4 linked regions of the Arabidopsis thaliana genome follow. The protein of the gene in region 2 interacts with the protein of the main gene of each other region in a pairwise test. Each region holds a gene or a part of one and is shown on either strand. Other genes may lie near its edges.

The links.
Region 1: the proteins of AGL62 (region 2) and AGL36 interact in a two-hybrid assay, tested with the Arabidopsis thaliana proteins (one large-scale study listed by BioGRID).
Region 3: the proteins of AGL62 (region 2) and AGL90 interact in a two-hybrid assay, tested with the Arabidopsis thaliana proteins (one large-scale study listed by BioGRID).
Region 4: the proteins of AGL62 (region 2) and AGL38 interact in a two-hybrid assay, tested with the Arabidopsis thaliana proteins (one large-scale study listed by BioGRID).

Annotation. Positions count from the first base shown.
Region 1 is NC_003076.8:9,339,157-9,347,652, reverse strand, and holds AGL36 (AGAMOUS-like 36), read right to left. Parts: upstream 3,869-8,496; coding exon 2,768-3,868; 3' UTR 2,642-2,767; downstream 1-2,641. UniProt on the Arabidopsis thaliana protein: Probable transcription factor.
Region 2 is NC_003076.8:24,300,957-24,310,719, reverse strand, and holds AGL62 (AGAMOUS-like 62), read right to left. Parts: upstream 5,340-9,763; 5' UTR 4,392-5,339; coding exon 4,068-4,391; intron 3,776-4,067; coding exon 3,200-3,775; 3' UTR 3,004-3,199; downstream 1-3,003. Other genes in the region: ARF4 (auxin response factor 4), read left to right, coding at 35-196, 294-413, 496-571, 671-836, 938-1,626, 1,721-1,911, 1,994-2,162; AT5G60430 (antiporter/ drug transporter), read right to left, coding at 7,652-7,867, 8,080-8,334.
Region 3 is NC_003076.8:9,989,381-9,997,652, forward strand, and holds AGL90 (AGAMOUS-like 90), read right to left. Parts: upstream 3,391-8,272; coding exon 2,734-3,390; intron 2,611-2,733; coding exon 2,305-2,610; downstream 1-2,304. UniProt on the Arabidopsis thaliana protein: Probable transcription factor.
Region 4 is NC_003070.9:24,251,217-24,259,351, forward strand, and holds AGL38 (AGAMOUS-like 38), read left to right. Parts: upstream 1-3,712; coding exon 3,713-4,549; 3' UTR 4,550-4,641; downstream 4,642-8,135. Other genes in the region: AT1G65295 (ubiquitin carboxyl-terminal hydrolase), read left to right, coding at 351-434, 575-838; XTH17 (xyloglucan endotransglucosylase/hydrolase 17), read left to right, coding at 5,980-6,327, 6,442-6,635, 6,731-7,103. UniProt on the Arabidopsis thaliana protein: Probable transcription factor involved in the development of gametophytes and seeds.

The sequences.
Region 1 (8,496 bases), about 15 Mb from region 2:
AAAGATAATTTGTTTCATGGATATATTGTTCTTTTTAATATTTAGCACCCAATTTCAATTTTTTTCGTTTTAACATCCGACTAATTTTGAGAATATACATGCTCCTTTTAAGAAAAATTAGTGAATCTATAACAGTAAAAAATTAGAAATTAATAAAGCTTAACCTCTATAAATTAATAATATCGAAATTATGATATTTCAATATTTATACAGTTATTAATTTATTAATTAAATGATCTTAAACACTTATTAGGGATCAAAGATTTTAATCTATCGAGTATTAATTTATATAATTATTACTACACCCAAATAACCAAGTGCCGCATGCTTAGAGTTTACATACTGTAAAAATAAAATCTTGAGTTGTACCAAATTTATATAATTAGTTCTTAATTTAACGTAGCCATTTGAGTTTCGGCCCAAGTGGTCAGAGGAAAGGTGTGATAGTTAACTTTACCAAATTATTATTTTTGGATATTATGAGGTGTTTTGGGCCTTAATCACTTGGCTAATCTCTTTAGGGTGAGTGTAGGATCGATTAGCCCACTCACCGAGTTTTTTAATGAGTACTTAAATCACGCTCCTCTCCCTTACCTCTGCCATATCTTTTAGAGAGGGAAAGCTTCTTTTTATGACATTGATCAGATTGTAAAATAGATTTCTTTGTTTTGTCTCTTCCAAATCATATCTTAGATCTATAGCTTAGGTTTAGTGACTTGTTGTTGTTCATCTCTGTATTTGTTTCGGACAATAAAATTCCAACTAAGATCGGATCTGTTTTGTTCTCTTCTTTCTACATACATAAACTCAAATCGCCGCAGCTATTGGTTAGATCCTCTTTGTTCACCGTCAGCTCAACTCTTCTTATATATATACGAGAGTAATATCTCCACATGTTTATCCATGGATATAGGCCTATTACGGCCAAAGGCGAAGCTTCCTACTATAGGAGCAGATTGAGATTATGAAGATTTGTTTTTTCTCGATCTACTTCAAGATGGATTCGATGGGGTTCTCTCGACTTTAGCAACGGGCAGCGCTGTAGAAGAGGAGCGGTGGTGGATCTGAAGTCTGGCGGCGGAGCTGCGCTGATCGTGGATTTGGCTAGCTACGTTTGTGTCATCTCATCTCCTTCTCGCGTGTGGACACGTATACCGCACGTAACACTTTTTTAATCTCGTCCTTATCTTTAAATTTTAGTAGGATAAATAGACTTCAATTTAAATTGAAGTTGTAAACGCTGGTGGTTTGGGCTTTTTTCATCATCTATATAACTCAATGGGCTTTTCATTTTTATGAAAATGATCTTGTGGACAAAAAAAATGAAAAAATAAAAATAATGAGACCATAAATCATAGCACTATTTGCAACTAAACCTAATTAAATTTACTAATAATTTTATAACAAAATACAAACAAAAATTTATCAAATTATTACCCTCGATTTTTTAACATAATTTAAAATAACACGAGATGATTAATATTTGCACAAGCAAACAAACATGTAATGAAAACCCAGAAAAACTAAATCTTCACAATATGCAGGAGCAGGCTATATAAAAGACTAATGATATATTTGTTTTGACATTAAGAAAACAGTTAGATTTTATGCTGAATATTATCACATACACATATATACTGTAATCAATGCTGTGATGGTGTGTAGATGTATTTTTTGCAAGTTTTTTCTTATCAAAAGATATTTTTTTCCTAAAACAGTATTTAGGTGATTTACACAGCTCTCTAGTATTATCTTATATAGTTATACATTTTTGTTATAATGGAAAGACTAAAAACTACCCACACTTTTTTTCTTTCTACATTTTTCTTCACAAAATAAAGTCATGGAAAGTCATGAAAATTAGGAACCAATAACACCCCCTTAGAGTCTAACTGGTGCAAAATTTGGAAGAACAAATTTTCTACCTAATTTTTTTGAGCCCAAAAGAATGGGAACAATGTTTAAAAAATTGACCTAGGCACTGATCGATATAGGCTCAAGGCTTCTATCGAAAGCCTAACTAGCGCCTAACGATTTTTTTAACATTGAATAAGAGTAGTTCTTTTTTTTTTGTTATCAAATAATTTTTTTCGAAAAGAATAAGAGATTATTGTTGCTTTTGCCATTTTTCATAGAATTTTTTTGAAATTGTAATTTTTACTAAAATCTTATGGATATGCCATTTTCTAACACTAAAAAAAGTATGTATTTCCGATTTTTTTGGTAAAAATACGTAGTTTATACAAAATATTAAATCCTAAGAACAAGCACAACCGACTAAACCAAAACATAACGAATAAAACACATGTTAAATCATATTTTCGTAGTGTGAAAAAGGCAAAATCTACAAACTATTCAGAAAAGGACAAAATCCACAGATACCATCCCAAAAAATGGCAAATCGATAATTGATTCAAAGAATAATAGTTCTTACTTTAAATTGCTGGGGAAAACAATTATTCTCTATGTATGGGTCCTAAAAGAATTCAATTGAAAATTTCCGTCTAAATATTGTACCAGTCACATCTTAAATTTTCGAAATAAAATTCTACAATTAAAGTTTCCCACACTACGGTGAGCAAATACATTACTTAATAATCTTTTTTTGGGGGCAAAACATTACTTAATAATCAAAATACATAATTAAGTTAAAAAGAGATCCTTTAACCATTATTAATAAACAACATTAGTTTTTGTCTTTCGAAATGAAGAAAACACAAATACAAACAATTGAACACTTAGACTAGTTCTTCTCCCTCTTTTGTGATTAGAGATTATTGTTGATGTAAGGATCATAGACACCGGTGGTGGAAGGCATGTAACTGGTGGAAGCATGATCAACGGCTGGTAGTTGATTGGATGGTAGTTGATGGTAGTTGTAGCAGTTTCCGTCCACGAAAGGAATGCTTTCACGCCCTCCAACATGATTCATATGTTGTTCCACCATCGGATTCATGAATGATTGTTGTTGATTCAGATACTGATTCGAATTCAGATTCAAATTCAGATTCAAATTTATGTTGTAGAATTCTCGTTGAATCTGATTAAACAGATTATTAGGAGCCTGGTATTGAACCTGATTCATATTCTGATTTTGAAAAAAATCACAAACGTTAGTAGGAACAAGGTGTTGAAACGGTTCATGCAGATTTTGACTCATATTCATATTTTCATATGGAATATGATCAAAAAATCTACTGGAAGCAGTTACCGCAGTTGCGTCCGCATCAAGAAAAGGAGTCATATCGCCCGTAAGAACATGAGGATTGGTAGCATTAAGAGTATCTACAACCCCAGTTGTAGCATGAATAGGAGAGTCGGAAAATGACTCATCACCAATTTCGTCAACACCAATTCTAGTAGGAAAAGGAGAGACGGAAGACAACAACGACTCACCATTTTCTTTAATGGACTCGATCCTTCCGTTAAGCTGATCGAGATATAGATTTATACAAGATTGCAAATCTTGAAGGTCTTTTGCATCATAATGATACTGGGACATTTTGCCTTCAACACAATCAAACATAAATCGTCTAACCTGTAACTCTCGGTTCTCAGCAGCCAGGTTCTTTAGTTGCTCTTTTGCTTTGGTAATCCTCTCCATAAGGTAAGTCTCTTGATCCATCATCTTCTTGGTTCGGGCTGTCGGCGGCATCTCCAGAAACCTTGAAGCCACCTTTTTAGCACCTTCCCTTGACGGCCATGACTCTGGAACCGGTATGAATGGACTGTAGATGAGAGCACAAGCTTGGACACCACACAGAGTTGACAACTCGTGGAGTTTCTTAAAAATCCCGTCTTTCCTCTTTATGAAGGATGTTTTCCTTGATCTTTCATTAGCTATCAAAGATAGCTTCACCTTCTTCATCCCCATCAATTTGTTTTTTTTTTTTGTTTTGTGTGGTTTGTTTAATTTGTTTGCTCAAAGGATGTTTATATAGCAAAGAAAGGTGATTCTATAGACACTAGGATTCTTATCACTTTGGTGGACTAATTAATTCTAAATAACATCCAGGAAATCTCTTATCAATTAATTGACCAGGTAATTCATTATTATCTATATAAAAATATTTTTTCTTATCCAAAGTTTGGTACGTCTGATCCTAAATAATATCTGATGACAAAAAAAAGAAAAAAATCTATCCATGTAATACGAGGGGGCATGTAATATAATATTTTGTATTTCTAAGTTTTGTTTTTATTTTGGCGAATTAATTTCTCTTACTCTCATTGTTTCTTTTTACTAAGAATAATTTCTAGCTTACTTTGTTCTTAAAATATGAAGTTTTGCAATAGTTTTAAGTGATTGTACTTTTAAAATACAGTAATATATTGTCAATGTATATAGAATTGTGGTAAGCTAGAAATTACTCTAAAGTTTGTTATCTAAAGTAAATTTCAGAAAGTTTGTTATCTACAGTAATTTAAAGATGTACTCTGAATCATACAAATAAATTTTTAGAATGGGCAAACAACTTGGAAAATATGCAAAGTACATCTCACAGAAACGCCAAAAACTTTGAATAATTGGTATGAATGCCCTTTCAACACAATCCCTTTTCAGTATTGCCCTTTCTTATTTGTTATTTTCATTTATACCCTTTTTTAATTTTTAATGACTATTTACCCCTATTTAAAATATGTTTTAGGTAAAAAAATGAAATATTGATTTTTCCCGCCTATAATATTCTGAAAAAAATTTTCCGCCAAAAAATTTCAAAAAAACATTTTCTGCCATAATATTTGTTTTAAAAAAGATTTTTCCCGCAAAAAACAAATTTCGCAGGAAATAGATTTACAATGGATTTTAATAGATTTTTAAAATGTGTAAAAGGGTTTTAAAATATTTATAAGGGATTTTAAGAGATTTTTATAAAGTGTAAAAGGTTTTAAAAAGATTTACAAAGGATTTTAAAAGATTTTTATAGGGTTTTAAAAGATTTACAAGTGATTTTAAAAGATTTGAAAAGGGTTTTAAAAGATTTACATGTGTTTTTAAAGATTAACAAAGATTTTTAAAATAATTTTCTAGAACTTTAAAATGGTTCAAAAATTATTAAAGGGTTTACATGAGATTTTAAAAGATTTTTAATGGTTTACAAGGGTTTTTAAAACATTTTGTAAGGGGTTCATAAGAGTTTAAAATGGTTCAAAAATTATTAAGGGTTTTTAAAAGATTTTTATATGGTTTTTAAATAGTTTTCAAGGGTTTTAAAGGATTTAACAAGGATTTTTACAACATTTACAAATGTTTTTAAAATCCTTGTAAATCTTTTAAACACTCTTGTAAATCTTTTAAAATTATTGTAAAAGGTTTTAAAATGTAAAACAAAAGGTTTTAAAACGGGTTTTTAAAGTATTTACATATATATTTAAAATTTTTATAAAGATTTTAATAGGTTTTAAAATGATTTACAAGGGTTTTTAACAAATTTACAAAGCTTTTAAAAACCTTTACAAAGATTTTTAAATGCATGTTTTTAGCTGGAAAAACATTTGTTACAGAGAAAAAAAAATGGCGGGAAAAAAATTTGGCGGAAAAAAAAATATTTTGGTAGAATTTTTTTTTGTCAGGGAAAAAATAAATTCGGCGGGAAAATTTCAGTTCATAAATTACATGTTTCTCATTAGATGTGGGTAATTTGTTTGTTTTGCTCAAGAGAAAGAGTATTTTTAAAAATGGACTACATATAAGGGTAAAATCAAGAGTTTAATACATTAATATGACTACATGTATTTATTTATTAATAATGACATATAAAAAATTATTTATGAAAATTATTTTTATTTAGAAAATATATGCATAATTTGGGTAAAATCAAGAGTTTAATACATAAATATGATTTTTGTCTTTTTTTTTATTTGTAAAATTATAATTTATAAAATCATGTGGATATTATATCTTTTGGGGCATTGACCCGATATTATATATTTTTCATTGCACTTTTAGAAATAAATTTTACCAGCTAATAATGAAGAGTAATTTAGCTGGCATTACCCTATTTTTGATCTTATTAATATCCCTAAAATAAATAGCTTTATGTAGACATGAGAGAATTGGTAAGAAAATATGATCCAATCATAGCTTTGGAACCCACATTTCAGAATTTTGGAATGCTTTTATTAATTATCAAGATAAAAGCATACAATTTCAATAATATAATATCTTAGATTGTAGAAAAGTTTTGGTAGAGGTTTGTTATCCGCTTGAAAAGAGATTTGTGTAAATGTCAAATTGAAAACTATTTGAAAGAACGAATTCTGTTTTTTAAGAGTTGCGATTTTTGCGAACCCAAGTTTAGATGTATTAAATAAATAATTTAGAAGTACATATATGAATTTTTGGTGTTTTCTTAACTTATTAACAAACAATTATTTGTTCTAAAATAATTAAGATTGTGAATAGTGACCTAGAAGACTATTATATTATAAGAAATATAATTAAAATTCTTTACTTTAATATGATGATTATTAGGCTATTATGACTTTATAAGCAACGTTATAGAGTTGATAAAATGAGAATGAAGACATGGTCTATGTTTTTAACTTCGAGCGTTATGATTAGGGGTGTCAAAATGGGTCAGAATTCATGGGTCAACTCAACTCAACTCAACCCATGATTCCTAATTAGTTGAAATTTTTGACTCAAATGAGTTGATGGGTCAAATGAGTTATTGGGTCAATTGGTTTGATGAGTAAAATGAGTTGGGTTGTAATGGTTAATGGTTTCAATGGTTTACCCAATTAACCCATCAAATTTTGTAAAATTGAATTAAACCAAATAAAATCTCTAAACCAATATCAATTTAAGTTTAACCAACACATCTAAACCAATTTAAGAAAATCAATATTTTTCCAAATTTCTTAAATATACAAGAGATGAAATTGAGAAGACGTAAACTCGTAATTTATCCACCAAAAAACAGAAATCCGTAATTTTCCCGACAAAAACGTAAATCCGTGATTTTCCCGCCAAAAACGTAAACCCGTGATTTTCCCACCAAAAACATAAACCCGTGATTTTCCCACCAAAAACGTAAACCTGTGATTTTCCCGCCAAAAATGAAAACCCGTGATTTTCCCGTCAAAAACGTAAAACCCGTAATTTTCTCGCCAAAAACGTAAACCCGTAATTTTCCCGCCAAAAACGTAAACTCGTAATTTTCCCGCCAAAAACGTAAACCTGTAATTTTCTGCCAAAAAACGTAAACCCGTGATTTTCCCGCCAAAAACGTAAACCCGTGATTTTCCCGCAGAAACGTAATCCCATAATTTTCTCGCCAAAAAAACGTAAACCCGTGATTTTCCCGCCAAAAACGTTAACCTGTAATTTTCCCGTCAAAAATGTAAACCTTTAAAAAATAGAATCCGTAAATATCCTAAGTTTGATGATAATGAATTAATAATTATTAAAAATGATAATTATTTAATAGTGTTTTATAATAATAATTAATTAAATTATTACTTAAATGGATTAACCCATTTTGTTAAATGGGTTGAGTCAACCCATAACTCATTTAACCCTAAACTCATTTGATTATGAGTTGGGTTGAGTTTGATTACCCATTTTGACACCCCTAGTTATGATGTTTGTATTAATTGAGTTATTATAGATATATTATACAATGTACTATTATGTGTTTGATTTTTTTGTTAAAACAATATTTTTAATATATGGTTTAAAGTATGGTGTTTTATATTTTGATCTTTTTTTTTTTTTTGATCTTTCCAACAAATATACACTTTCTAGAAAAATCAGAAAAATCGCCTCGGCAAACTCATTAATTTCTAATTCCATGCAACCTAGTTTTAAGTCATTTTTTTTATCTTGACGTGCTCGTTAGATTTCTTTCTTTTGTGTTAAATTACTATTGTTTTATTACAAGATTAATGTAAGCTTTTTGTCACATGATAAAGTAATTTTATGTAACATAGCAAACTAATCGGATCATTTGAAAAGCCAATTGGGCCTATGTAAAGCTAATTGTTGGGCTCTATTTACCTGTTAAAGCTTGTTGTGATTAGCATAGGCTAGGTTTTAGATATACAAAATATCTAGCCTTTTAGAGCATCTATTGGAATTTAAATATGAAAATGGATCTAATGTTTAGTCAAAAATAAATCAATAGAGTAATAAAGGGACCAACTTATGTTATTTTGCACCTAAAAATTTGTTATAAGATCAAAAATTTGTATGAAGAAATTTTTTGAGAGGGCCGTTCAACCTATTTAAAATGCATTATGTAAATATTGATTTTAAAACATATATGACGTGTTAAAATTTTTATGTCACAAAGAGTCAAAGAGATCCAAACTATACACACATATATGTAAAGAAAATAGGGTATTTCTTCTCATCCCGGCTACATTCGGATTCTATACGTGGACTCGATAAAAGACTGCATAATTAACTTGTCCATATAGCTACATGAGCCAAATAAAATCTTCAAAATATAGTTACAAACTAAATTTTCTTGAAATGGAAACGACTTGCAA
Region 2 (9,763 bases):
TGTTTACATTCATTACTAATATCGGCGTTTATAGAGACGAAGGAGGAGAGCTGAGATTAGGAATCAGAAGAGCAGCACGGCCAAGAAATGGACTTCCTGACTCAATCATTGAGAAGAATTCATGTTCAAACATTCTGTCTCTTGTGGCTAATGCTGTATCTACAAAAAGCATGTTTCATGTGTTCTACAGTCCACGGTGAGATAAAAATGAAAAGCTGCCATTCGTAATGATTCTTAACTAGGTTCAGTAAGAAATAAAGAACTATAATGTTGATTTGTGGATTTATATACAGAGCGACGCATGCAGAGTTTGTGATTCCTTATGAGAAGTATATCACAAGCATCAGGAGTCCTGTTTGCATAGGCACAAGATTTAGAATGCGATTTGAAATGGACGATTCTCCTGAGAGAAGGTATTGTTTCTTTCTTGCTTCTTTCTCTGTGTTGTGTAGCTAATATTGTTGGACGAGAATTTATATTCGATCTTTCTTGCAGATGCGCTGGTGTAGTGACTGGAGTCTGTGACTTGGACCCGTATAGGTGGCCAAACTCTAAATGGAGGTGCTTGTTGGTGCGTCCTCTCATCTTTTTGGAGTATCTGTCTATTAACGTGTAGAAGACTTTTCATTTTCGAAGATTGATATCTAAATCTTTCACATTTGTTTGGCAGGTGCGATGGGATGAGTCTTTTGTGAGTGATCATCAAGAAAGAGTTTCACCTTGGGAGATTGATCCCTCGGTTTCTCTCCCACACTTGAGCATTCAGTCATCTCCAAGGCCTAAAAGGCCATGGGCAGGTTTACTGGATACTACCCCACCCGGAAACCCCATAACAAGTAAATTATATAGACCTCTCTTCTCTTTGGAGTATATGCTTTTGCAAACAGTTCTCAATTTTCATCAGTATATTATTGATAACTGTTCTTGGTTGCAGCAGAAAGGGGTGGTTTTTTGGACTTTGAGGAGTCGGTTAGACCCTCTAAGGTCTTGCAAGGTCAAGAAAATATAGGTTCTGCATCACCCTCACAGGGGTTTGATGTTATGAACCGCCGGATACTGGATTTTGCGATGCAGTCTCATGCAAATCCAGTTCTTGTGTCGAGTAGAGTCAAGGATCGATTTGGTGAGTTTGTAGATGCTACTGGCGTGAACCCAGCTTGTTCAGGTGTTATGGACCTGGATAGGTTTCCAAGGGTCTTGCAAGGTCAAGAAATTTGCTCGCTTAAATCATTCCCGCAATTTGCTGGTTTCAGTCCAGCTGCTGCTCCTAATCCCTTTGCTTACCAAGCCAACAAGTCAAGTTACTATCCGCTAGCTTTGCATGGGATTAGGAGCACTCATGTTCCGTATCAGAATCCATACAATGCGGGAAACCAATCCTCGGGTCCCCCTTCACGTGCAATAAACTTTGGTGAAGAGACTAGAAAGTTTGATGCACAAAATGAAGGTGGCCTACCAAATAATGTTACAGCTGATTTGCCATTCAAGATTGATATGATGGGAAAACAGAAAGGCAGTGAGTTGAATATGAATGCTTCATCAGGATGTAAACTTTTCGGATTCTCCTTACCAGTGGAGACACCTGCATCTAAGCCGCAAAGCTCGAGCAAAAGAATCTGTACAAAGGTAAAACGTTTTCTTTATCATCTCTTTGGCTACTTTGAGTTGCAGTTTTAGATGTCTCTTCTAATCAGTTCTTGTGTTGAATTGTTATCAAAAGGTTCACAAGCAAGGAAGCCAAGTGGGGAGAGCTATTGATTTGTCGCGACTTAACGGGTATGATGATCTCCTTATGGAGCTTGAACGGCTGTTCAACATGGAAGGGCTTCTCAGGGATCCTGAAAAAGGATGGAGGATCTTATATACTGATAGTGAGAACGATATGATGGTCGTTGGCGATGATCCATGGCAGTAAGTTCTTTATACATACCTTCTAAAGGTCAATCACAACTTCTTTTCTCCTAACTTGAAATTGGCTTTCTGCTATGGATAGTGATTTCTGCAATGTGGTGTGGAAGATACACTTATACACGAAAGAGGAAGTGGAGAATGCGAATGACGATAACAAGAGTTGTTTAGAGCAAGCTGCTCTCATGATGGAAGCATCAAAGTCATCTTCTGTGAGCCAGCCTGATTCTTCTCCTACAATCACTAGGGTTTGATACCCATAAAGAAGCTTATTTCCTATGTTTTAAAGTGTGTTTTGCTCACAAAAGAACTTCAACTTTATCTTTGTCTTTGAATCCATTTATGTGTTTGTTTGTGTTTCTTCTGGTCTCCATGGATGTCTCATGTGTACCGTTTTACTCGAGAGATATGTGAGTTTATGGGATGTGTAAAGCATGCCATTGGATTTTAAGGTTTTCAAAATTACAATATATATATTAGTTTTGAAGTATTTTGCTTGATTTTGAAAATTTCATTTCTTAAGTTCTTACATATGTGGATACTCTTGTATTGTTCTTACAATTTTTTTATTTATTTTTAGATTGATATCTAATACATACTAGATATTTGATGATGATTTAATCTTTTTTAAGGAAAATAAATATTAGAGTATACTGCACGGATTAATTAAATAGAATGATGTGACATAGATTTAGCCTTTTTTTCAACTAAAAGTTAACCTTAATTTTATTATATTTTCCTTAAATTTAACATTAATTTTATTATATTTTCTATATTAGAATTAGATTTTTATCATTTTAGGAATATTTCACAATATCTGTATTTCATCATTATAAGGAATGAAATTAGAGGGAAAGCCATTGTAATGCTGTCATTTCATTTTTTACAATGTACCAAAATATGTGGGATAATGTATGTACTATTTTAGTTGAAAAATGGTGCACACAGAAATTTTCATTATGCTTTTTTGCAAATTTATTTTAAAATAGTACATGATTGATTATGATTATTACCTTTCTGTGTTTAAAATTCTGCAATTGCCCAAAATGCGTAAACGTAACCATGGCAGACTAGTATTTTCAGAGGCGTAATGCATTTGTTTCCGACACATATAATTTATATATAGCAATAACATAATTTTGAAATGAAACAACACAATACAACATAATACTTAAACAAGAACAAGAAAAACAACAACAACACATGTAGAAACATAAATAAGAAGAAATAAAGATAACCTAAACACACAACTTTTTGTCTAGAGACTTAAGTTGGATCACACAACAAAGGGTTAATAGTAATCAGATCTAGACTGGGGAGGATAACCATGATGATGTTCATATTCAGAGATGTTTTCTCTCTTAAAACTCTGGTTTTGGATTTGGATTTGAACTTGATTTTGGTTTTGGATTTGGTTTTGGTTTGGGTTATACTCTGGTCTGAAGTTCACATTGTATTCTGGAACAAACCCTTCATTAATACCATAAGCATTGTTTCCAAAGGGTGGTAATGCATGATTAGGGTGAATTTGGTTCTGGTTGTAGTTGAAGGCATTTATGTCCATCATTCTTCTTTGGCTAAAGAGATCCATATCAGGGTTGATATGACTACCATCATCAATCCCAAAAGCAGCATTATTACTAGAACTTCCCACATAGAAGTTTGGAACATTTGCCTGAAAAAATCTGGAAGCTTCGACTGTAACTACTTTCTTCAAATTTTCAAGATTACCTTTGAACCCCTCGAGTTGAGATAACGCAAGTTCCTCAACGGGATCTTCCCACCAATTCCCAAGGGCTTTTGTCTTTTCTCTTATTTTCTTTAACTCGTCGTACTTCTTTTTCTCTGTTTCTAATTGACTCAACACCTGCAAATATATATACAAATAAAAACACCAATAATATTATTAATTTTCATACCATATGATTCTATAACATTTCATCGGCATTTTTATCTAACATACTATTAGGATATAAATCTATTCTAGTTATGGAGAAAAAGACTGTCTAATGTTTTTTATATATTATTTATTCACCTGCGAAAACTTTTACTTATATATATTAAATAAAAAAAGAATTTAACCATAGAAATTTGGGTTTTATGATTCATAGAAAACACTATTTTGTTTTAATCATACTTAAAAATAAGAGTAAGATTACCTGAGTAAGATGATTATTCAGATCCTGAACAATCGAATTTCGACGAGTTTCTCTAAGTTGCATGTTGTTGTGTTGGTGAGGAGGTAGAGGGTTATTGTTTATGAATCGATCAATTACAGAATCAACATTTGGATGACCAAAAGAAAAGACTTTTCGACCAGGTGAGAACACAACTATGGCCACTTCTGCACCACAAAGTGTGCAAAGCTCACTAGCCTTTTTGAAAAGTCCAGATCTTCTTTTTGAAAAAGTAACTTGAAGGTTACTTTCATTTTTCATTTTGACCATCTCTATTTTTTGACGACCTTTGCTTTTTTTCACCATTTTTAGTGATATTTGAGAAGCTAAAATATAGGATTGGTGTTTGTAGAATGAAAATGCTCATGTATTTATAGCAGAATATTACAAACCAAATAATTAATATTTGAGTTGTCTATGAGTAAATTTCAACTTTGATTTATTATATTTTTATTTGAATTTGAATTTTACTATTTTTGTAACATTTCATAATCTTAATATTCAATCAATATATGGTATGCAATACAAATTTATTTGACTATTATCTTCTCATTTCATTTGTACAATGTATCCAAATCTGCCAGAAAGATCCACCTTTAATTAGTAGTGATCTTTTCATATCTAATAGTAATATTATTGGAATATTTTTTTTAAATATAGCAACAAAAATGGCGGCGTAAAAAAAATTACTAACAAGTAACAAGCGTAATATGGTCAATATGTTTTTGATTTACTGATACATCATTTTCGTTAATTGTTTAATATTCTAAACTTAATCTCATATTTTAATATATTAAAAAATCGTTATATTGTTATCTGAAATTATTTGTCGCTATTTTCTAAAGTAAAACATGTATTCTCTCGTTTTTTTTTGTTAAAGGGTCTTCTTATGTATTCTCTCGTTATTGGTGATTGATCTATTATCGATAATGAAAACTATTTATGATAAAATGATTGTATGATTTTTTTAGCAATTGTTGTAACAAATATACTCCGTTACATTATTTATGCAATCATATTCTTTGCTACTTTTTAGATAGAACATATTTTTCTTACGTTATTAGCGATTGATTTGTTATCACTAATGAAAAATATTTATGATAAAATTGTTATGTGATTCTAGCAACTCGGCCACAATTGTGATAGGTTTGAGATATATATATGATTAAGCCCGGCATGACTATGAACTATTTCTTTGTGTTCCATACACATATATCCTTCTCTCTTTATATATATATACACACTAACCTTTATATGATGTAATTATCATCTAAAAATAGTTTATTTATATATTTATTTTAAGAGAGTATATTATAAAAGATTAGATTCAAGGAAAAACATTCGATATATTGTTTATCGGATGAAATGAGTTTATGAATTTTGCACTAAATAATGTTCCTTTATGAATATAGAAAACTTAGTTATTTATGTGATAAATACAGAAAAAATGAAAATCGTCAAAAACGGATACCATGAGATAACACTATAATTTTGAGAGCTTTAAGATAGAATTATTTTGTTTGGACCGTTATATAGAATATGAAGACCATTCCAAATTCATTATTATTTCTGATAAATTGACAATAGATATATGCCGTTACATTACTTACTAACTCTGTTTTTAAAATAATAATGGAATACATTCCTCTATTGTTATTGGCGATAAATTTGTTACTGATAATAACATATATTTATGATAAAATGGTGATATCTTATTTCCAATAATATTTATAGCTCCCCTATCTCATTTGATGGATTGATAAAAATTATTTGAATGACTTTATTATTTTTTGATAATTTGAAGCCAGATTCTCTTAAATTACACAAAATATCAATTATATAGTAATTAATATGAAATATTCAACTTATCTATGTAGAATGTAAATGTCATCCAAAAATAGTGAAATGGTAGTTGTTTCAGATAATATCTCCAATTAAAATTATTTTACCGATGATAATATAATACGGGCATGTTTATTAAAGTATGCATAAAATAGTGATCTTTAAAAGAATCTTATCATAATACTGAACTAGATAGAATTGATTAATCTTAAAAACTTTCAGTATTGATTACAGTATTAAAGTTTTATCTGAGGTACAATGATTTTTGTTAACTTATTATTTTTGATAGTTAATTGGTATATTTTCTGAAATTGATTTTAGAGTTATAAATATTATGGTAAATATAGTTATACTGATATCATAAAATAATAAATATATATGAGATCTTTAGAAATATGTGATTGAACTAAATATCTTAAAATTCTTATTTATGAAACTTTTAAATAGTTAATATACCAAATAATTTAAAAAAGGAAACAATAATTTTCTACAAATATAATCCATAAAATTTAGACGAGACAAACTACTTTTGCAGTAATTATTAATTTGTATATTTGTTATATAAGATAAATTCTTCAAAATACCACATTTTTTAAGTTTTGTTGCCAAAAATGTCACTATTAGTTTAATATTTCAAAGATACTACCAAAAAAAATTTGTTTTTCAAAAATACCACAAAACAACAAATTGATGTCCAAGAGTTCAAAATTTAAAATTTTAGGTTTGGGTTACCTATTTTAGATTTAGGGTGTAGTTTTTAAGGGTAGGATTTTAGTGTTTAAGGTTAGGATTTGAAAGTTGAAAATTTAATTTAGTTTTGTGATATTTTTGGAAAACCAAAAACTTAAGTAGTATTTTTGAAAGATCAAACTTAAGTGTGATATTTTTGAGAACTGTTTGCTATATAAACATATTTGCGTACTTTAAGAAATATTATTTATAGAAAACTGCCAAAGGATTAGAAAAATTCACTAATATATACACATAATTGAAAGACCTTTTATACTCTTTGGTAACATATTTATTAGTATGTAAAATAAAAATACAAATGGTTTTAGTTTAATCAAATAAAATGTAAAAAAATAATATAAAATATTGAAGTCTTTAGACCATGACTAATAACCTAGCGGTATTTGCTAGAATCATCGTTGTGTCATTGCCGAGATGCAATTCCAATTAAAATAATTAATAAATCATATAGAAGAAAATCATACAATATTTTATATTATTACTCCCTAAAATAATGAATTCCTGAGTTTTTCACCAAGATTTAGAAAATTATAAATTATATATTTTGATTAATTATTTTTGTGCTATATCTTTTAAAAAGTTAATCTCAAGTTGCTTTTTGCTCCACTTATCTTGAAAATAATAAATGATGTACTTTGATTTATTGTAAATTTAAAAGCATAAATTAATTGATTGATCTTGAAAATAAAAATGCGTTAAATATACCACGGAAAATCAATATTTTGATACAAAAACAAAACCTCACGAAATCATTCTTTGGAATGAATAAACCAATCATATGATATGATACATGACATTCGAACATAAGGAACTGCTATAGGAACAAAAGTTTCCCACATTAACCTCAAAGGCTAGTCTCTCTAAAATCATGGGACTAAGAGCAAGTCCAGTGATTAGTTTCTAAATAAAGTTTCTATGTATTTTTTATTAATAAATTTGGATAGTTTTGTAGTTTAGAGATTTTTTTAGAGTTTTTAAAGATTTGGTGGTCCATTGGTGGAATACTTAAGTGGGTTTCTAAAACAAAAAAAAAAATGAAAAAAAAGAAAATTTGTTGATATTTTTATACATAAAATAGATGGGAGAACCTGTGAAAGACTGAAACTGCCATCTACAAAATTTTGTTGGTAGAGCCCAATATTTGCTCCATCTACTATAGCTTCGTAATCTCCATGTTTCTCAAGCCAGTCCTGCCAAATAAGATAGCAACATTCAATAAATATCGACATTTGAATACTCAAGATTGATGACAATTCGCAGTAGAAACTCCAAGCACTATACCTATCTCTAAATGCTTATCAAAGTTAACTAAACAAAAAGTAAACTTTCATTAATATTTAATGTCCAAGACTTATTATAAGCAAGCTAAGAGAATCAAGGAATCATCAATTCTTTCTCTAACCTGAAACTCGCTGAAGACCACATCTGACTCACATGAATTCATTTTTGCCTTCCTTTCCATAGCCAAAGCCACCAAAGAATCCACAAACTTCTGTGTTTCTACCTCATTGGTATCTACACAAGCTAACTGCTCACTGCAGCTCAAACATCTTCCTGTTGAGCTAACATTACCTTTCTTTACAATCCATTTTCCATCACCAACCCACCCATGCCCGTGCCACCCACCTCCATTCTTCAAAACAGCTTCTCTAAGCATCTCAACATCAGAACCAATGCCATAAATCTCAATCTGACCAAGTGTTTGTCACTCCTGCGTAAAAACAACGGCAACACAAGAGAATCCATTTCCTGAAACTGAAACTGAAACTGACAACAACCACCTTTGTACCTTGCATTATGTTAACTACAGAATCATTACGTGATTGAATCATTACATGATAAAATACAGAATGTATTGTATGAGAATCATTACGTGATTGAATCAATAACCCATGTCGATACTTTTAAGTTAACTAGAGAGAATCAAAAACTTTTTAAAAATGAAGCTCACTCGCACATACAACTGAACAGAATTTTGCATCTTTTTCAACGAAACGGATCTGATCTTTTTCAAAAAAAACTTGAAGACCACATCATCTAATGATTTTTAACAGCTTCTCAATCAACGATCTATTGCAAAATGCAGAACCTAACAACACTTACAAATTTATCCAATCCTACATTTATGCAAATTTTCCCAATCAATCAAACAATCTTGAGCTTCAATTTCTTGAAATAAGATTAAGTACCAAAAATTGCATAAGATCAAAAAACTTACCGGAAGAAGAACAGAAGCCAGAAGTGGAAGAGTCCAAGCTAACAAACTCGTCGTCGGAAGAAGACTTCGAGTTCGAACCATCACCACCGGAATCAGAAGGATGAGGACTCGCCGTGATTGTGATCGGCGGAGGAATCGGGAACAGAAACTTCTCCAAATCAAAAGAACCGAGTTTGTTTTTCGATTCCAATTGGAGTCTCTGTCGGAACACGAAGAAATGAGAAGGAAGAAGAATGTGTTTTTTTTGTTTTTTTTGAGTCAAAACTTTTACCCAATAAAGTGAAGCCACGTATGGGTTTCTATTGGGTCGCGAAAAACCCAATTTTAGGAACGCTCCTAAATGGATTGTTCTGTTTTTCTTTCTGTTGGGCCCATTTTACTTAGAAATCTAACATAAAAACCCACTAAAAACCATTGCTGGACTTGGTCTAACACACCACGAACCACATCATTTTGCACATAAACAGAATACAACGAGCACACTTGTCCAGGATGAACAACGAAAGGATTGGATTGGATTGTCCGCAAGGATTAAGCTTATAACAGTTGTTATATCCTTAAACGAGCATCATGTAGTACTGTTGTCTTCTTTGTCTTTGGCAGAGAAGTATAATGCTTCTGGGCTTCTGGCTTTGACCATAACCATGAAGTTAATCACATGCAACACAATTTGCAATGGAGGAGAAGAGCTGAATTTTTCTAATTAATAAATAAAATTTGGAGCCCATAATTTACATTGCTATATCTCTCTATAGCTCCTGGCTTCGAAGTAATTTTATCATCGTCCACACAAAAAAAACCTATTTCGAGTATACAAACTACTAATTAAATCGGAACCACTGTGCCCACTTTTCTTTTCTATCAGAGA
Region 3 (8,272 bases), about 14 Mb from region 2:
TTCATACAATTAATGGAGACAAAGAATAATACTTTTGGAGGAAGACTTACATAAGTTTAGCCCATAGAATTGTTACAAAACTCGTTGTAAATATTTGACCACGAGTAGTTAATTACTTTAATGGTTTTCATGAATTAATATTTGAAAGGTGAAATAACTTTTTTACCACATGTTATGTTATTTAAGGTTTTTGTTGCTATAACGGTTTTACCATGTATAATTTGTTATCTTTTTTTACTTCTTTTGCTCAATTAGATTCCCTTTCGAAATCCAGAAAAAAAAATTTCCTTTTGGATCGATGCAAGAAAGTAGAAAAGATTCTCTTTGCTCATTTGGTTAAGGTCAGGGTCATACCTTAATTAAACATTTTGTAATTGACACTTAAAATGGAATATCTTTTCAAAACCAAATACAAGTAAACTAATAATTTTTATCCGTAAAAAATAATTAAAAAAAAGATTAAGATGTTGTAAAATATAATAAGTGAACTCTACACAAGATTAATGCATATTTAAGAAAAAACAAGCAATACTAAAATCATATTATACAATTATTAATGTATGATACTAATGAGATCATATAATTACATAGAAGTTTTTAAACAAAATATTATTTTATCGAATTATGTTAAACATTATATTAGTCTGACTCGAGATTGAAAAAAATATTAATTTATAATGATTATTAATTTATCAAGTATTAATTTATAGAGAATTTTTTGTATAAACTATTCAAAGTTAAACTTCAATTTACAATTGTGCTCACTTGATATATTTTTTGTTCTTTAAGTTAAACCCAGAAAGCAAAAAAAAAAAAGTCGCTTTGATTAATAAATCAACAGATTACAGTCTAAACTTAAGGTAATGCTTTTTTGCTGAGATAGAAACAAAGTAAACCTAAAAACAAATATGAAAGAATCAATCAACAAAGAGGAGGAAAAAAAAAAGAATCATTCATGGTAGATTTGATGAAGAAGCGATTGCTTTATATATACAGTTTTATTACAAAATACAAACAAAATTTTATCAAATTATCACCCTCGATTTTTCAACATAATTTAAAATAACACCAGATGATTAATATTTGCACAAGCCAACAAATATGTAATGAAAACCCTTAAAACTAAATCTTCACAATATGCAGGAGCAGACTATATAAAAGACTAATGATAATTTTGTTTTGACATTAAAAAAACAGTTAGATTTTATGCTGAATATTATCACATACACATATATACTGTAATCAATGTTGTGATGGTGTGTAGATGTATTTTTTGCAAGTTTTTTTCTTATCAAAAGTTTTATTTTTCCTAAAACAGTATTTAGGTGATTTACACAGATCTCTAATATTATCTATATAGTTATACATTTTTATTATAATTGAAAGACTAAAAACTACCCACACTTTTTTTCTTTTAAAAATGACTTAGGGTCTAACTGGTGCAAAATTTGGAAGAAAAAATTTTCTACCTCATTTTTTTGAGCCCAAAAGAATGGGAACAATGTTAAAAAAAAATCGACCTAGGCACTGATCGTTATAGGCTCAAGGCTTCTATCAAAATCCTAACTAGCGCCTAACAATTTTTTTAACATTGAATAAGAGTAGTTCTTTTTTATTTTATTTTGTTATCAAATTATTTTTTTCCAAAAGAAAAAAAGATTATTGTTGATTTTGCCATTTTTTCATAGAAATCTTTTGAAATTGTCATTTTTACTAAAATCTTATGGATATGCCATTTTCTAACATTAAAAAAAGTATGTATTTCCGATTTTTTTGGTAAAAATACGTAGTTTATATAAAATATTAAATCCTAAGAACAAGCACAACCGACTAAACCCAAACATAACGAATAAAACACATGTTAAATCATATTTTCGTAGTGTGAAAAAGGCAAAATCTACAAACTATTCAGAAAAGGGCAAAATCCACAGATACCATCCCAAAAAATGGTAAATCCATAATTGATTCAAAGAATAATATTTCTTACTTCAAATTGCTGGGGAAAACAATTATTCTCTACGTATGGGTCCTAAAAGAATTCAAATGAAAACTTTCGTCTAAATATTGTACCAATCACACATTAAATTTTCGAAATAAATTCCACAGTTAAAGTTTCCCACAATAATCTTTTTTTTTTGGGCAAAACATTACTTAATAATCAAAATACATAATTAAGTTAAAAAGAGACCCTTTAACCATTACAACCATTATTAATAAACAACATTAGTTTTTGTCTTTCGAAATGAAGAAAACACAAATTCAAACAACTGAACACTTAGACTAGAAAATCTCCGTCTTTTGTGATTAGAGATTGTTGTTGATGTAAGGATCATAAACATCGGTGGTTGAAGGCATGTAACTGGTGGAAGCAAGATCAACGGCTGGTAGTTGATTGTAGTTGTAGTAGTTTCTGTCCACGAAAGGAATGCTTTCACGCCCTCCAACATGATTCATATGTTGTTCCACCATCGGATTCATGAATGATTGTTGTTGATTCAGATACTGATTTGAATTCAGATTCAAATTCAGATTCAAATTTATGTTGTAGAATTCTCGTTGAATCTGATTAAACAGATTATTAGGAGCCTGGTATTGAACCTGATTCATATTCTGATTTTGATAAAAATCACAAACGTTAGTAGGAACAAGGTGTTGAAACGGTTCATGCAGATTTTGACTCATATTCATATTTTCATATTGAATATGATCAGAAAATCGACTGGGAGCAGTTACCGCATTTGCGTCCGCATCAAGAAAAGGAGTCATATCGCCCGCAAGAACATGAGGATTGGTAGCATTAGGAGTATCTACAACCCTAGTTGTAGAATGAATAGGAGAGTCGGAAAACGACTCATCACCAATTTCGTCAACACCAATTCTAGTAGGAAAAGGAGAGACGGAAGACAACAACGACTCACCGTTTTCTTTAATGGACTCGATCCTTCCGTTAAGCTGATCGAGATATAGATTCATACAAGATAGCAAATCTTGAAGGTCTTTTGCATCATAACGATACTGGGACATTTTGCCTTCAACACAATCAAACATAAATCGTCTAACCTGTAATTCTCGGTTCTCAGCAGCCAAATTCTTTAGTTGCTCTTTTGCTTTGGTAATCCTCTCCATAAGATGGGTTTCTTGATCCATCATCTTCCTGGTTCGGGCTGTCCGCGGCATCTCCAGAAACTTTGAAGCTACCTTTTTAGCACCTTCCCTTGACGGCCATGACTCTGGAACCGGTATGAATGGACTATAGATGAGAGCACAAGCTTGGACACCACATAGAGTTGACAACTCGTGGAGTTTCTTGAATATCCCGTTTTTCCTCTTCATGAAGGATGTTTTCCTTGATCTTTCATTAGCTATCAAAGATAGCTTTACCTTCTTCATCCCCATCAATATGTTTTTTTGTTTTGTTTTGTGTGGTTTGTTTAATTTGTTTACTCAAAGAATGTTTATATAGCAAAGAAAGATGATTTTATAGTCACTAGGATTCTTATCACTTTGGTGGACTCATTAATTCTAAATAACATCCAGGAAATCTCTTATCAATTAATTGACCAGGTAATTCATTATTATCTATATAAAAATATTTTTTCTTATCTAAAGTTTGGCTCGTCTGATCCTAAATAATATCTGATGACAAAAAAAAGAAAAAAATCTATCCATGTAATATGAGGGGGCATGTAATATAATATTTTTATTTCTAAGTTTTGTTTATACTAAGAATTAATTTCTCTTACTCTCATTGTTTTTTTTTACTAAGAATAATTTCTAGCTTACTTTGTTCTTAGAATGTGAAGTTTTGTAATAGTTTTAAGTGATTGTACTTTTAAAATACAGTAATATATTGTCAATGTATATAGAATTGTGGTAAGCTAGAAATTACTCTAAAGTTTGTTATCTAAAGTAAATTTCAGAAAGTTTGTTATCTACAGTAATTTAAAGATGTACTTTGAATCATACAAATAAATTTTTAGAATGGGCAAACAATTTGAAAATATGCAAAGAACATCTCACATAAACGCCAAAAACTTTGAATAATTGTTATGAATGCCCTTTCAACACTATCCTTTTCAATAATGCATTTTCTTATTTGTTATTTTCATTTATACTTTCTCTTAATTTTTAATGACCATTTTACCCCTATTTAGAAAATGTTTTAAGTAAAAAATGAAATATTAATTTTTTCCCGCCAAAAATATTCTGAAAATAAATTTTCCGCCAAAAGTTTCCGGCCAAAAAATTTTAAAAAAAACTTTTCTGCCAAAAAGGTTTCTTAAAAACATTTTTTCCGCAAAAAAAAATTATAAAGGATTTTAAGAGATTTTTGAAATGAGATTTTAAAGGGTTTTAAAAGATTTACAAGGGATTTTAAAAGATTTTTAAAAAAGGTGTAAAAGAGTTTTAAAAGATTAGGGATTTTAAGAGATTTTTATAAAGTGTAAAAGGTTTTTAAAAGATTTACAAAAGATTTTAAAATATTTTTAAAGGGTTTTAAAAGATTTACAAGTGATTTTAAAACATTTTAAAAAGGTTTTAAAAGATTTACAAGGGTTTTTAAAAGATTAAAAAAGATTTTTAAAAGAATTTTAAAATATTTTTAAAGAATTTTAAAATGGTTTAAAAATTATTAAAGGGTTTACAAGAAATTGAAAAGATTTTTAATGGTTTACAAGGGTTTTAAAGGACTTACAAGGGTTTTTAAAATATTTTGTAAGAGGTTCATAAGAGTTTTAAAATGGTTCAAAATTTATTAAGGGGTTTTAAAAGATTTTTAAATTGTTTACAAGGGTTTTAAAGGATTTACAAGGGTTTTTAAAAGATTTACAAATGTTTTTAAAATCCTTTTAAATCCTTTAAAAATTCTTGTAAATCTTTTAAAATCATTGTAAAAGGTTTTAAAATGTAAAACAAAGGTTTTAAAATGGGTTTTTAAGTATTTACATATATATTTAAAAACTTTATAAAGATTTTAATAGGTTTTAAAATGATTCACAAGGGTTTTTAACAAATTTACAAAGCTTTTAAAACACTTTATAAGGATTTTTAAATGCATGTTTTTAGCTGGAAAAAAATTTGTTACAGAGAAAAAACTTTGGCGGGAAAAAAAACTTTTAGCGGGAAAATTTCAGTTTATAAATTACTTGTTCTCATTAGATGAGAGTAATTTGGTATTTTTGCTCAAGAGAATGAGTATTTTTAAAAATGGACTACATATAAGGATAAAATCAAGAGTTTAATACATTAATATGACTACATGTATTTATTTATTTATTTATTAATAATGACATATAAAAAAATTATTTATGAAAATTATTTACATTTAGAAAATATATGCATAATTTGGGTAAAATCAAGAGTTTAATACAGTAATATGATTTTTGCTTTTTTTATTATTTTTTACATTCAAATGGATATTAATGCAGGTACACATGTATAAACATGATTGGATATAAAATTATAATTTATAAAATCATGTGGATATTATACCTTTTGGGGCATTGACCAGATATTATATATTTTTTATTGCACTTTTAGAAATAAATTTTACCAGCTAATAATGAAGAGTAATTTAGCTGGCATTACCATATTTTTTTATCTTATTTATATCCCTAAAATAAATAGCTTTATGTAGACATGAGAGAATTGGTAAGAAAATATGATCCAATTATAGCTTTGGAACCCACATTTAAGAATTTTAGACTGCTTTTATTAGTTATCAAGATAAAAACATACAATTTCAATAATATAATATCTTAGCTTGTAGAAAAGTTTTGGTAGAGGTTTGTTATCTGCTTCAAAAGAGATTTATGTAAATGTCAAATTGAAAACTATTTGAAAGAACGAATTTTGTTTTTTAAGCGTTGCGATTTTTGCGAAACCAATTTTAGATGTATTAAATAAATAATTTAGAAGTACATATATGAATTTTTGGTGTTTTCTTAACTTATTAACAAACAATTATTTGTTCTAAAATAATTAAGATTGTGAATAGTGACCCAGAAAACTATTATAAGAAATATAATTAAATTCTTTACTTTAATATGATGATTATTAGGCTATTATGACTTTATAAGTAACGTTATAGAGTTGATAAAATGATAATGAAGACAATATTTTTGACTTTGAGCGTTATGATGTTTGTATTTTGAGTTATTATAGATATACTATACAATGTACTATTATGTGTTTGATTTTGTTGTTAAAACAATATTTTTAATATATGGTTTAAAGTATGGTGTTTTATATTTTGATCTTTCCAACAAATATACACTTTCCAACAACTTCACGATCTCGTTTTCATATTTCTTAGCCAACACCGCCGCTCCATCGATTTTTCTGATGGCCAGAAAATGTGTTGATTTAGTCAGACGGTCCACGATCACCCAAATAGTATCTTTGGTCCGCGATACAGGTAACCCAACCACGAAATCCATCGTGATAAAATCCTACTTCCACTCAGGAATGGGTAAACTCTGCAACATGCCACCCGACACCTGGCAAACATCACACTCTGCGACCTAGTTAGCTACATCCCTCTTCATCCTAACCTACTGATAGTACCGCTTGAGGTCTCGGTACATCTTAGTCGCTCCTAGATGAATGGAAAACATGCTCGCATGAGCCTCACTCAAGATCTCCTACCGCAACTCCTCATCATTAGGCACACAAACTCGCCAATGCACAAGGATAGTCCCATTAGCTGCGAACTGATACTAAGAACCCTCTACCTTAGAAGCCGCAATCAACCCCTCATCCTTTTCCTGAGCCAATCGAACTCTACTAAGAAGATCTGCTCGATCCACAGCCTTCAATCCCAATGGCTCCCTTGCAGCAGCACACAACCGCAAAACACCAATCTCACTCACCATGGCTTCAACACTCTACCCTGGAGCCACACCCACGCGCTTACGGCTCAACGCGTCTACAACCACATTAGCTTTACCAAGTTGGTGGGGTATCTCCAGATCATAATCAGCCACCAGCTTCATCCACCGCCTCCGCCTCAGGTTCAGCTCTGGCTGAGTGAAGATATACTTCAGACTCTAATGATCCGTGAACACCTGCACTTTCCCGCCATAAAGATAAGACCTCCAAATCTTCAAGGCAAAGATCACCGCATCCATCTCCAAATCATGAGTAGGATAATTACCCTCATGTTTCCTCAACTGCCGCGATGCATAGGCAATAACCTTCCCACGCTGCATCAAGACACAGCCCAACCCAACTCTCGAGGCATCAGTATACACCACGTAAGGCTCCCCATGATCTGGCAATGCTAACACTGGTGTACTCGTCAACATCTCCTTCAGGTTCACGAAAGCCTCCTCCCACTCCGGTGACCACACAAAAGAAACATCCTTCCTTGTCAACTTAGTCATCGACTGTGCCATACTCGCAAATCCCTTCACGAACCTCTTGTAATACCATGCCAACCCAAGAAAACTCCTGATCTCAATAGCATTCTTCGGTGTAGGCCAGTCTCTGATAGCCTCAATTTTCTCCGGATCCACTGAAACTCCCTCTACATAAACAATGTGACCCAGAAAACCCATCTCTCTTTGCCAGAAACTGCACTTGCTCAACTTAGCGAACAGCTTCTGCTCCCGTAGCTTCTCCATCACTCTTCTCAGATGTACCTCATGCTCCTCATGACTCTTAGAATACACCAAGATGTTATCAATAAAGATGATCACAAACTCATCCAGAAACTCCTAGAACACGTTGTTCATCAACCTCATGAACGTTGCTGGTGCATTAGTCAAACCGAAAGGCATCACCACAAACTCAAAATGTCTATATCTAGTCCTGAAAACAGTCTTGCGAACATCTGCCTCCGCTATCGGGATTTGGTGATAACCCGACGTCAAATAGCACCCCTCAACTGATCCACCAACAACTCATCGATCCTTGGAAAATGGTACTTGTTCTTCATAGTGACCCGGTTCAACCCTCGGTAGTCAGTACATAAGCTGAAACTCTCATCCTTCTTCTTCACAAATAACACAGGCGCTCCCCAAGGTGAATCCCCAATGTCCCACATTTCCTAAAAAAATTGGGCAATAGTTCAGAGTCATACTATAAAAAGACTAAAATGATTCCGAATACAAATGAACCAGAAACTTGAGTTCTTAGACGTCCAAAATTAAAGTGTTCGGTTTACCCCAGTTCTATAAAAAGACTAAAAGGAAAATTATTAAAAGGACCATTAAAGAATTGAATAAAAATGTTTAAGCATATGCCAACAAATGAAAACTCCAATAAAGAA
Region 4 (8,135 bases), on a different chromosome or scaffold from region 2:
GTTATTGAAATTATATTTGTCACCAAAAGAATCAGATCCTTCGAAAAGAAGAAGAAGAATCTGTTTTATTACAATTGGTATGGTTTTCTCTATCAGTTGATTCGATATTGGTGTGGTAATGAAGTGGAGAAATTAAAGAATAGTAAAATTAAAGACCCCACTTATTATTTCTTCCCTCAATAAAAAAAACAAAAACATTTCTCTACAAAAATCATAAATGTTATAACCAAAATAATTGAAAAAAGTAGCTCGAGAGAGAAGTAGCATTTGCTACTTTACCCAAAATCCCTAACCACATAATAAACCAAACCCAACAAAGAAAATAAAATTTCAAACCAAAAAAAAAAAAAATGAGAACTTTAGAAGAATCGAAGATCTCTATTGTCTTCTTGTTGCTTCTTCTCTTCTCAATCTTCATCAGTTCCAGTCACCAGGTTAGTTTCTTTACTTAGATCCCTCTAAAGTTCTCTTCTTTCACATCTGGGTATTTCTAATTTTGTTAAAAATCAAACCTTTAACATAACCTGAATTCAAAGTTTTGAGCTTTATGGGTTTTGATTGGAATTTTGTTTAGGCAAATGAGGTATTACCAGCTGAAGGAGATAATGAGATGATGATGGTGCCATTGGGGGAGGAGAAGTTTATGGTAATGAATGAAACAAGAAGGAAACTTGGAAGTTTTCAGATATGTTCAGTTTGTACTTGTTGTGGTGGTGCTAAAGGTCTTTGCTTGCCTTCTCCTTGTTGCTATGCTATTAACTGCAATATCCCTAATAGACCCTTTGGTTACTGTTCTTTCACTCCCAAAACTTGCAATTGCTTTGGTTGCCATATCTGAGATCTTCTACTTCATTGTAATTTGTAAGTTTCTTATTCTTCTCTGTTCTTAGTTTCTGCTCAGTTCATGTTTTGATGTTTGGTTATGAATGTTTTGATTCCAGGGGAGAGAAACAAGTGAATCTAAATCTTGATTCATCTTCAAGTGTGAAAGGGAGGAAAAAAAGAAGAATATCTGTTCTTGGTTTGAGTCTTCTACTTATTTTTTGTCTATAATTTATTTTTCAGTCTTCATTAAATTTCATTACCTACTATCTCAGCAACATCATCATCCTCATTAATTAATTGTCTTTTTGCATTTGCCATTTTTTCATAATTTTCTAGGGTTTTTTTTGTTTTGAGAATCTTGTTCACACTTCAAGCAAGATTTGTTTCTTCTTCTCTGTTCAATCAATTCTCTCTATCTGTCTTTCTCTCTCTCTTTTTTTTTTTTTTTCATTCTCTTGTTTACTTCATCATTTTGTTTCTTATGTGTTTTAAGAAAGTTAAAAGTTAGAATTTAGCATATTTTGGAAAAGAGTCATTGTTTGGTTAAGCTGGCAATTGGAAGAGTATTTAATATGATGATGATGATGGTATTGATGGTGATGGTGGTGATAGTGAAGCTGTTAAAGTTAAGTCTTTGTAATGAGTGACATGTTAAGAAAATGGATCAAGTTTAGTGCCTTATTCTGATCTGATAAGATCTTTAAGTGTTTTAGTTTAAAATAGAGGAAAAAGAGTAAAAAAGCAATTATTCATCTTCAAGTGCAGAGACTAGACAATATCTTTGAATATGTTTATTTATCTGACACTGTTATTATTGTAAGAGATGTTTTATGTCAAATGTTTGTTCCAACTCTCTCTATTGCGTTAGCGTAAGTAACCTGCAAGATCTGTAAATTAATTACTAATTGTTATTTATTATTCACACATGGGACATCATAAAGTTGTCTTGGTGATAAATTTAGTCAATATGTGTGTGTGGGTTAAGAGTGTTGACTATACCAGTTTCCCCGTGATTGATTGGCTTTTATTAAATCGGACAATTTGCATTTATATTCACAGGTCATGTTTATTAAACTCTACATTGCTGTCTAATGTCTATAGTACACCAAGTCTATTGGTGATTGAAATGTCGGAGAACGGTATAGTTTTTCTGTTCTTACAATAAAAAGGTAGATTAAGAACACTGATTAACTCAATGTAACCCATACACTTACACGTCGGGTCAATCTTGAGCGGTGATCTTTTGGGTTTACCTCTAACCCCGGACTGGTTAAACACTTTTCTCACCTCACCACATCAAAGCCATAATCAGGGCCCAAATTTGAGTGCCTACAGCAAAAAGATTTTGGCCCAATAACAAAAAACTGTTTTTTAAAACAATTACAAAATTTTCGTCTAAATTAGATTCAAAACTGTATAGTAAAATGTTTGGGACTAACCACTAAACTACAGTCACATTTTTGAAAATGATGACTCTAAAACAAGTTATAATTATTTGCTGCGTAATACCCTTGCTTCATGGGATTACGTGGAGAAGAAGAGTAAGTATCAATCAATTTATTGCTAGAGATTTGCAAAAGGGGGAATCCGTGTGCAGAGGTGTCTAGATGAAGCCATGAGTCTACAGCGGAGTTTGAATTTGCGGTGGATGAGTTACGGTGGAGATGACATTTTCCAAACATTACAAGCCTTAACACGTGTACCTACTGAGATTTTGATAGAACTTGAAATTGTTTCCCAAATAAACCTCTTATTCGGAAGTTAGGTTTTGGACTCAAAATGGATGGGATGCATCATGAGGTATGAGATATGTTTCCCAATGTAGTCTCCGGCGATGAGATTCTTTATCACCATTTTTATTTAACGTTAATACTTAAATCTTTGTAAGACAGAAAAAGAATAAGATGTTAGTCAAGATTAGAATAACGAGACCTAATTTGTGAAATTTTCCGTAGCTTTTTGTGGATAATAGTTTGTTTAGTAAAACTGATCCGAATTAATGTGAACTCGTAAGACTCCTCCATCTCAATGGAGCGGCTAATTAGAACAACTACTAAATTGTGACAAATCTAAGGTTGTCTCACATAATTCAAGAGTTTAAAATATGGTATAGTCTTAGATATAGATATCTTATACCAATATTCATAATTTGCTAAAGCTAACTAGACATTCCTAGATAATTTACCGCCAAGAAAACTAATTAATTGGATATGTTTTTCTTTTCTCTATAATTTTTGTATATTTAATTAATGTAAATATACAAAATTATATCAAATATATTATTTCCTTATATGTTTCATTTTAATCATTTTTTATTAAAATGAATAATTGGACACCTAGATAGCTAGGCCAAAACAATTTTTGACATTCCATTGACTTATTTACCCAAAATGGAAAGTGTGGGTGATTCTGGCTGTTTAGATGCTTAGACATAATCTTACTTTCTATCCAACTAATTATTACCTGTAACTGTAAGTTTCAATTTTAGGCATTTTATATTAATTATATTAAAATAAAAATAATAACAAATAGAAAAATGTATAGAGAAGAAAATATCTTAAATTACCTTTGAAATATATATTTTCCTTTAAATGGACTTTCTATATAAAAAATAAATCACATTACATATATGATACAATTTTCCCCCTAAATGTCTGGTTTTATGCCCCCCAAAAGGTAAAATATCTATATGGGCTGTCTATAAAGATAAATGATTATCACTTTACCATCAATCACATGCCAACACGTAAGGGTGAAAGTAATACCATATCCTGAAAATAAAAATTGAAAATAGTCCAGCAAAGCAATAAGAAACACATTTTATCTAGTATATAAACAATCGTCCTCATGCTAACAAAGCAAAACACATATAACAAAAACAATAGATATGAAGAGAAAGATGAAGTTATCGTTAATAGAAAACAGTGTATCGAGGAAAACAACATTCACCAAAAGGAAGAAAGGGATGACGAAGAAACTAACCGAGCTAGTCACTCTATGTGGTGTTGAAGCATGTGCGGTCGTCTATAGTCCGTTCAACTCGATCCCGGAGGCTTGGCCGTCAAGGGAAGGCGTTGAAGACGTGGTGTCGAAATTTATGGAGTTGTCGGTGTTGGACCGGACCAAGAAGATGGTGGATCAAGAGACTTTTATAAGTCAAAGGATCGCCAAAGAAAAAGAGCAGCTGCAGAAGCTACGTGATGAGAACCATAATTCTCAGATTCGGGAGTTAATGTTTGGTTGTCTCAAAGGGGAGACGAATGTGTATAATCTTGATGGAAGGGATCTTCAAGATTTGAGTTTATATATTGATAAGTATCTTAATGGTCTTACTCGCAGGATTGAGATCCTTATTGAGAACGGTGAGTCTTCTTCATCTTTACCTCTTCCTATTGTTGCGAATGCAGCTGCACCAGTCGGATTTGATGGTCCTATGTTTCAATATCATAATCAAAATCAGCAAAAGCCGGTTCAATTCCAATATCAGGCTCTTTATGATTTTTATGATCAGATTCCAAAGAAAATTCATGGTTTTAATATGAATATGAATAAGGATTCGAATCAAAGTATGGTTTTGGATTTGAATCAAAATCTTAATGATGGAGAGGACGAGGGCATTCCTTGCATGGACAACAACAACTACCACCCCGAAATCGATTGTCTCGCTACCGTCACCACTGCCCCCACTGATGTTTGTGCTCCTAACATCACCAATGATCTCTAGTCTAAGGGATGTATTTCGAGTGAAGTGTTTGATCGTTTGCATTTGTGTTTTCTCCATTTTATAAGACAAAACTTATATGTGATGTCTTTTTTATTATTATTAATTGTTGGACAATTCTTGCGTCCACACTTATCTTATTTACCCTTTCTTAAGTTCCTTATTAAACTTTACATTTTTTTTAACACCATCAAAAACTTTCTCTTTAAGTTGTTTATTACACTTTACATTTATTTTACACCATCAAAAACTAAGGTCACTAAATAAAAAAAACTATGAAGCCTCATTTTCCCATAGGAGCAATGTGAGACATAGACAAATTGAGTAAACAATTACATCACTTGGTAAACAATTTTTTTAATATTTAATTAGTATTGGTTGTTATTGATTTAAATTTTATATCACTTTCTAAATAATTTAAAATCGTATATTTGTATCAAGTGATGCAAATGGATTTAGATTTGTATCAATTTTAGTGAACTGATGCCACATAAACTAATACGACATCGATTATTGCAATTGATGTTAAACTATAATTCTTGTATCGATTGTAAACAAGTGATTCAAATTAATAGCATTCAATTTTTTTCATGCAACTACTTTTTTGTTTGTAGTATTTGTTGGATAGAACGTAATGTTATGGCTTAACATTTAAACGGCCAGAACTATCCACACTCTCCATTTTGGACAGATCAAGCAATGGAAGGTCAACATTGTTTTGGCTTAACCATCTAGGAGCCCTATTTATTTGTTTTTAATTACATTTTAAGAAAAATGACTAAAAGAAAAAATACAATGAATTAATATATTTAGGATAATACAGTATTCAAATATTTACATTAATTTAATATTTAAAACAGTATAAAGAAAAAGAAACATATCTAATTAGTTTTATAGGTGCTTAAACATATACGAATTCAGTAGTTCTTAGCAAATTTTAACTATTGAACTTTGTGTTCAAAATAACCTTCCTATGATGTCAAATACTGAAACTATTTTAGAACTCTTGTGAGTTATCTTAGCACCACATTTTATCACTTATAACTCTTTTTTTATTATTTTTACCAATAGAAAGTTTATAACCATGTTTTTATACCAATTGAATTTCTTATATTTTTCAAATAATTGTAATACCAAAAGATATTCTTAGAGTAATGTACTTTACAAATTATAAAAGTTGAAAATAGCGATATATGGGCTCCATCTAATGATCTCAATGCGGGACCAGCATGTGATATACGAATGTCTATATACATTATTTTCTCTGTTTTGTAACAATAAACGAGTAATGAAATTATATTTTATTGGCTTCAATTTGTAACAACCAACAAGAGGTCGAATGAGCCAACTAGAATACAGCCCACGATCAATAATCAAACCTATGAAACTTCCTTCTCTCTTTCTTTTAACATTTCCAAACACTATATATACTAATGTCACTTACCTCGATTGTCCATCAAACAATACATTTGAGATATCAATACTCCTGTGAGAACAAAATGAAGCTTTCTTGTGGTACAAGCTTTGCGTTCTTACTTCTGTTTCTTCTTGCGGCACAATCTGTGCATGTCTATGCGGGTAGCTTCCACAAAGACGTTCAGATACATTGGGGTGATGGCCGCGGAAAGATTCACGACAGAGATGGAAAACTTCTTTCTCTCTCGCTCGACAAATCCTCTGGATCCGGTTTTCAGTCTAACCAGGAGTTTCTCTATGGCAAAGCCGAGGTTCAAATGAAACTTGTTCCTGGTAATTCAGCTGGAACAGTGACAACATTCTATGTAAGTTACATACAATTTTCAAACCGTTTTTTGTCATCTTTTGCTATTCCTATAGTACATATATTTAGGCCTACATTAATTGAGTATGTTTGTGTTTATGATGACTTTGTGTAGCTAAAATCTCCGGGAACTACGTGGGATGAGATCGATTTCGAGTTCTTGGGAAACATAAGTGGTCATCCATATACTCTCCATACTAATGTTTACACAAAAGGCACAGGAGACAAAGAACAACAATTTCATCTATGGTTCGACCCAACCGTTAACTTTCACACTTATTGCATCACATGGAATCCTCAAAGGATTATGTAAGCGTAACCTTTGATACTTTGTATAATCTTATATGTTTTGAGGCTATGCGCTCATGAACTTACGTTCTCTTCTGTTTTTGCCCCTCTTACAGTTTTACGGTTGATGGAATTCCTATTAGAGAGTTCAAGAACCCCGAGGCGATTGGAGTCCCGTTCCCAACTAGACAACCAATGAGACTCTACGCGAGTCTTTGGGAAGCCGAGCATTGGGCAACAAGAGGAGGATTAGAGAAAACAGATTGGTCAAAAGCTCCTTTTACTGCTTTTTATAGAAACTACAATGTCGATGGATGTGTATGGGCTAATGGAAAATCATCTTGTTCCGCGAATTCCCCATGGTTCACTCAAAAACTCGATTCGAACGGCCAGACAAGAATGAAAGGTGTGCAAAGTAAATACATGATCTACAACTATTGCACCGATAAAAGAAGGTTTCCTCGAGGAGTTCCTGCCGAGTGCACTTAAATTCTTGATTCTTTGATACATGAATATGTTACTTGGCATTGCCTTTGTAACTCAATCAAGTTTTTATTTATTTTTATCATTTATTTGTTGCTCATATATACAGTATGTGGTGTTTGTGTAAGATGTTTTAAGATTGAAGTAATAAAAATAAATTATGGAAAAAAGCTTTCATTTGTTAACGTAATTAAATTTAACTGGCCGGCTTCACTAGACTTTTTAAAAAGTTAAAAACATAGGTAGAGGAGTTCATTAATTCTACAATAATGCTTTGGAAGAACATAAATCATAGGCTTACTAATATGAAGAACTGATCTATCTGATATGAAGGTACTTTAATACTCTCCCCAGTAAGAACACTAAATTCTTTCATGTACTTGCACTGATTTACTAGTTTTTTGGTAAACAATATATGTTCGATTGTATCTAAAATTGATACATTGTTCTGGTGATCAATATACATTGTATTCTCAATTTCTCATCTTCCAGTTATAATAACAATACTATATGGTTCTTGGTACATAATCTTTTACTTAACAAAAATAATTATAATATATGAGTTCGGAGAATTTGCTTTACCTGAGTTCTCGAGAGTGGTTATTAAGACGCTGCACACAGAGTATGCACACCCCAACCCCAACTTGCAGTATTCACTAACAGTATCACCTTGAGTCAAAAATAAAAAATACATACAACTTGCATCAAAAATAAAATCTTGCTCTATTTTGTAATAAATAACAATAATACAGCATAATAGAATGAAATCAATTTACCTTCTGTTTTGGGAATGACATGATGATATCCCACAGAACATGGCCCTGGACCGACTTTGCATCCAGTCATTGATTCACAATAACTCCTGATATAGACATCAGACGACAGACTTTATATTCAAGTTGAGCTTGTTCGGACTACTTGAATTTGTGCCATGAAAAGACTCATTATGATTTTACAGTCTTGCCTTCCATTTTTTAACTGATTTACCTGTTTGATGATAAAATGTATGTAGAGGAAAACCTTATAATTTATAAGCTC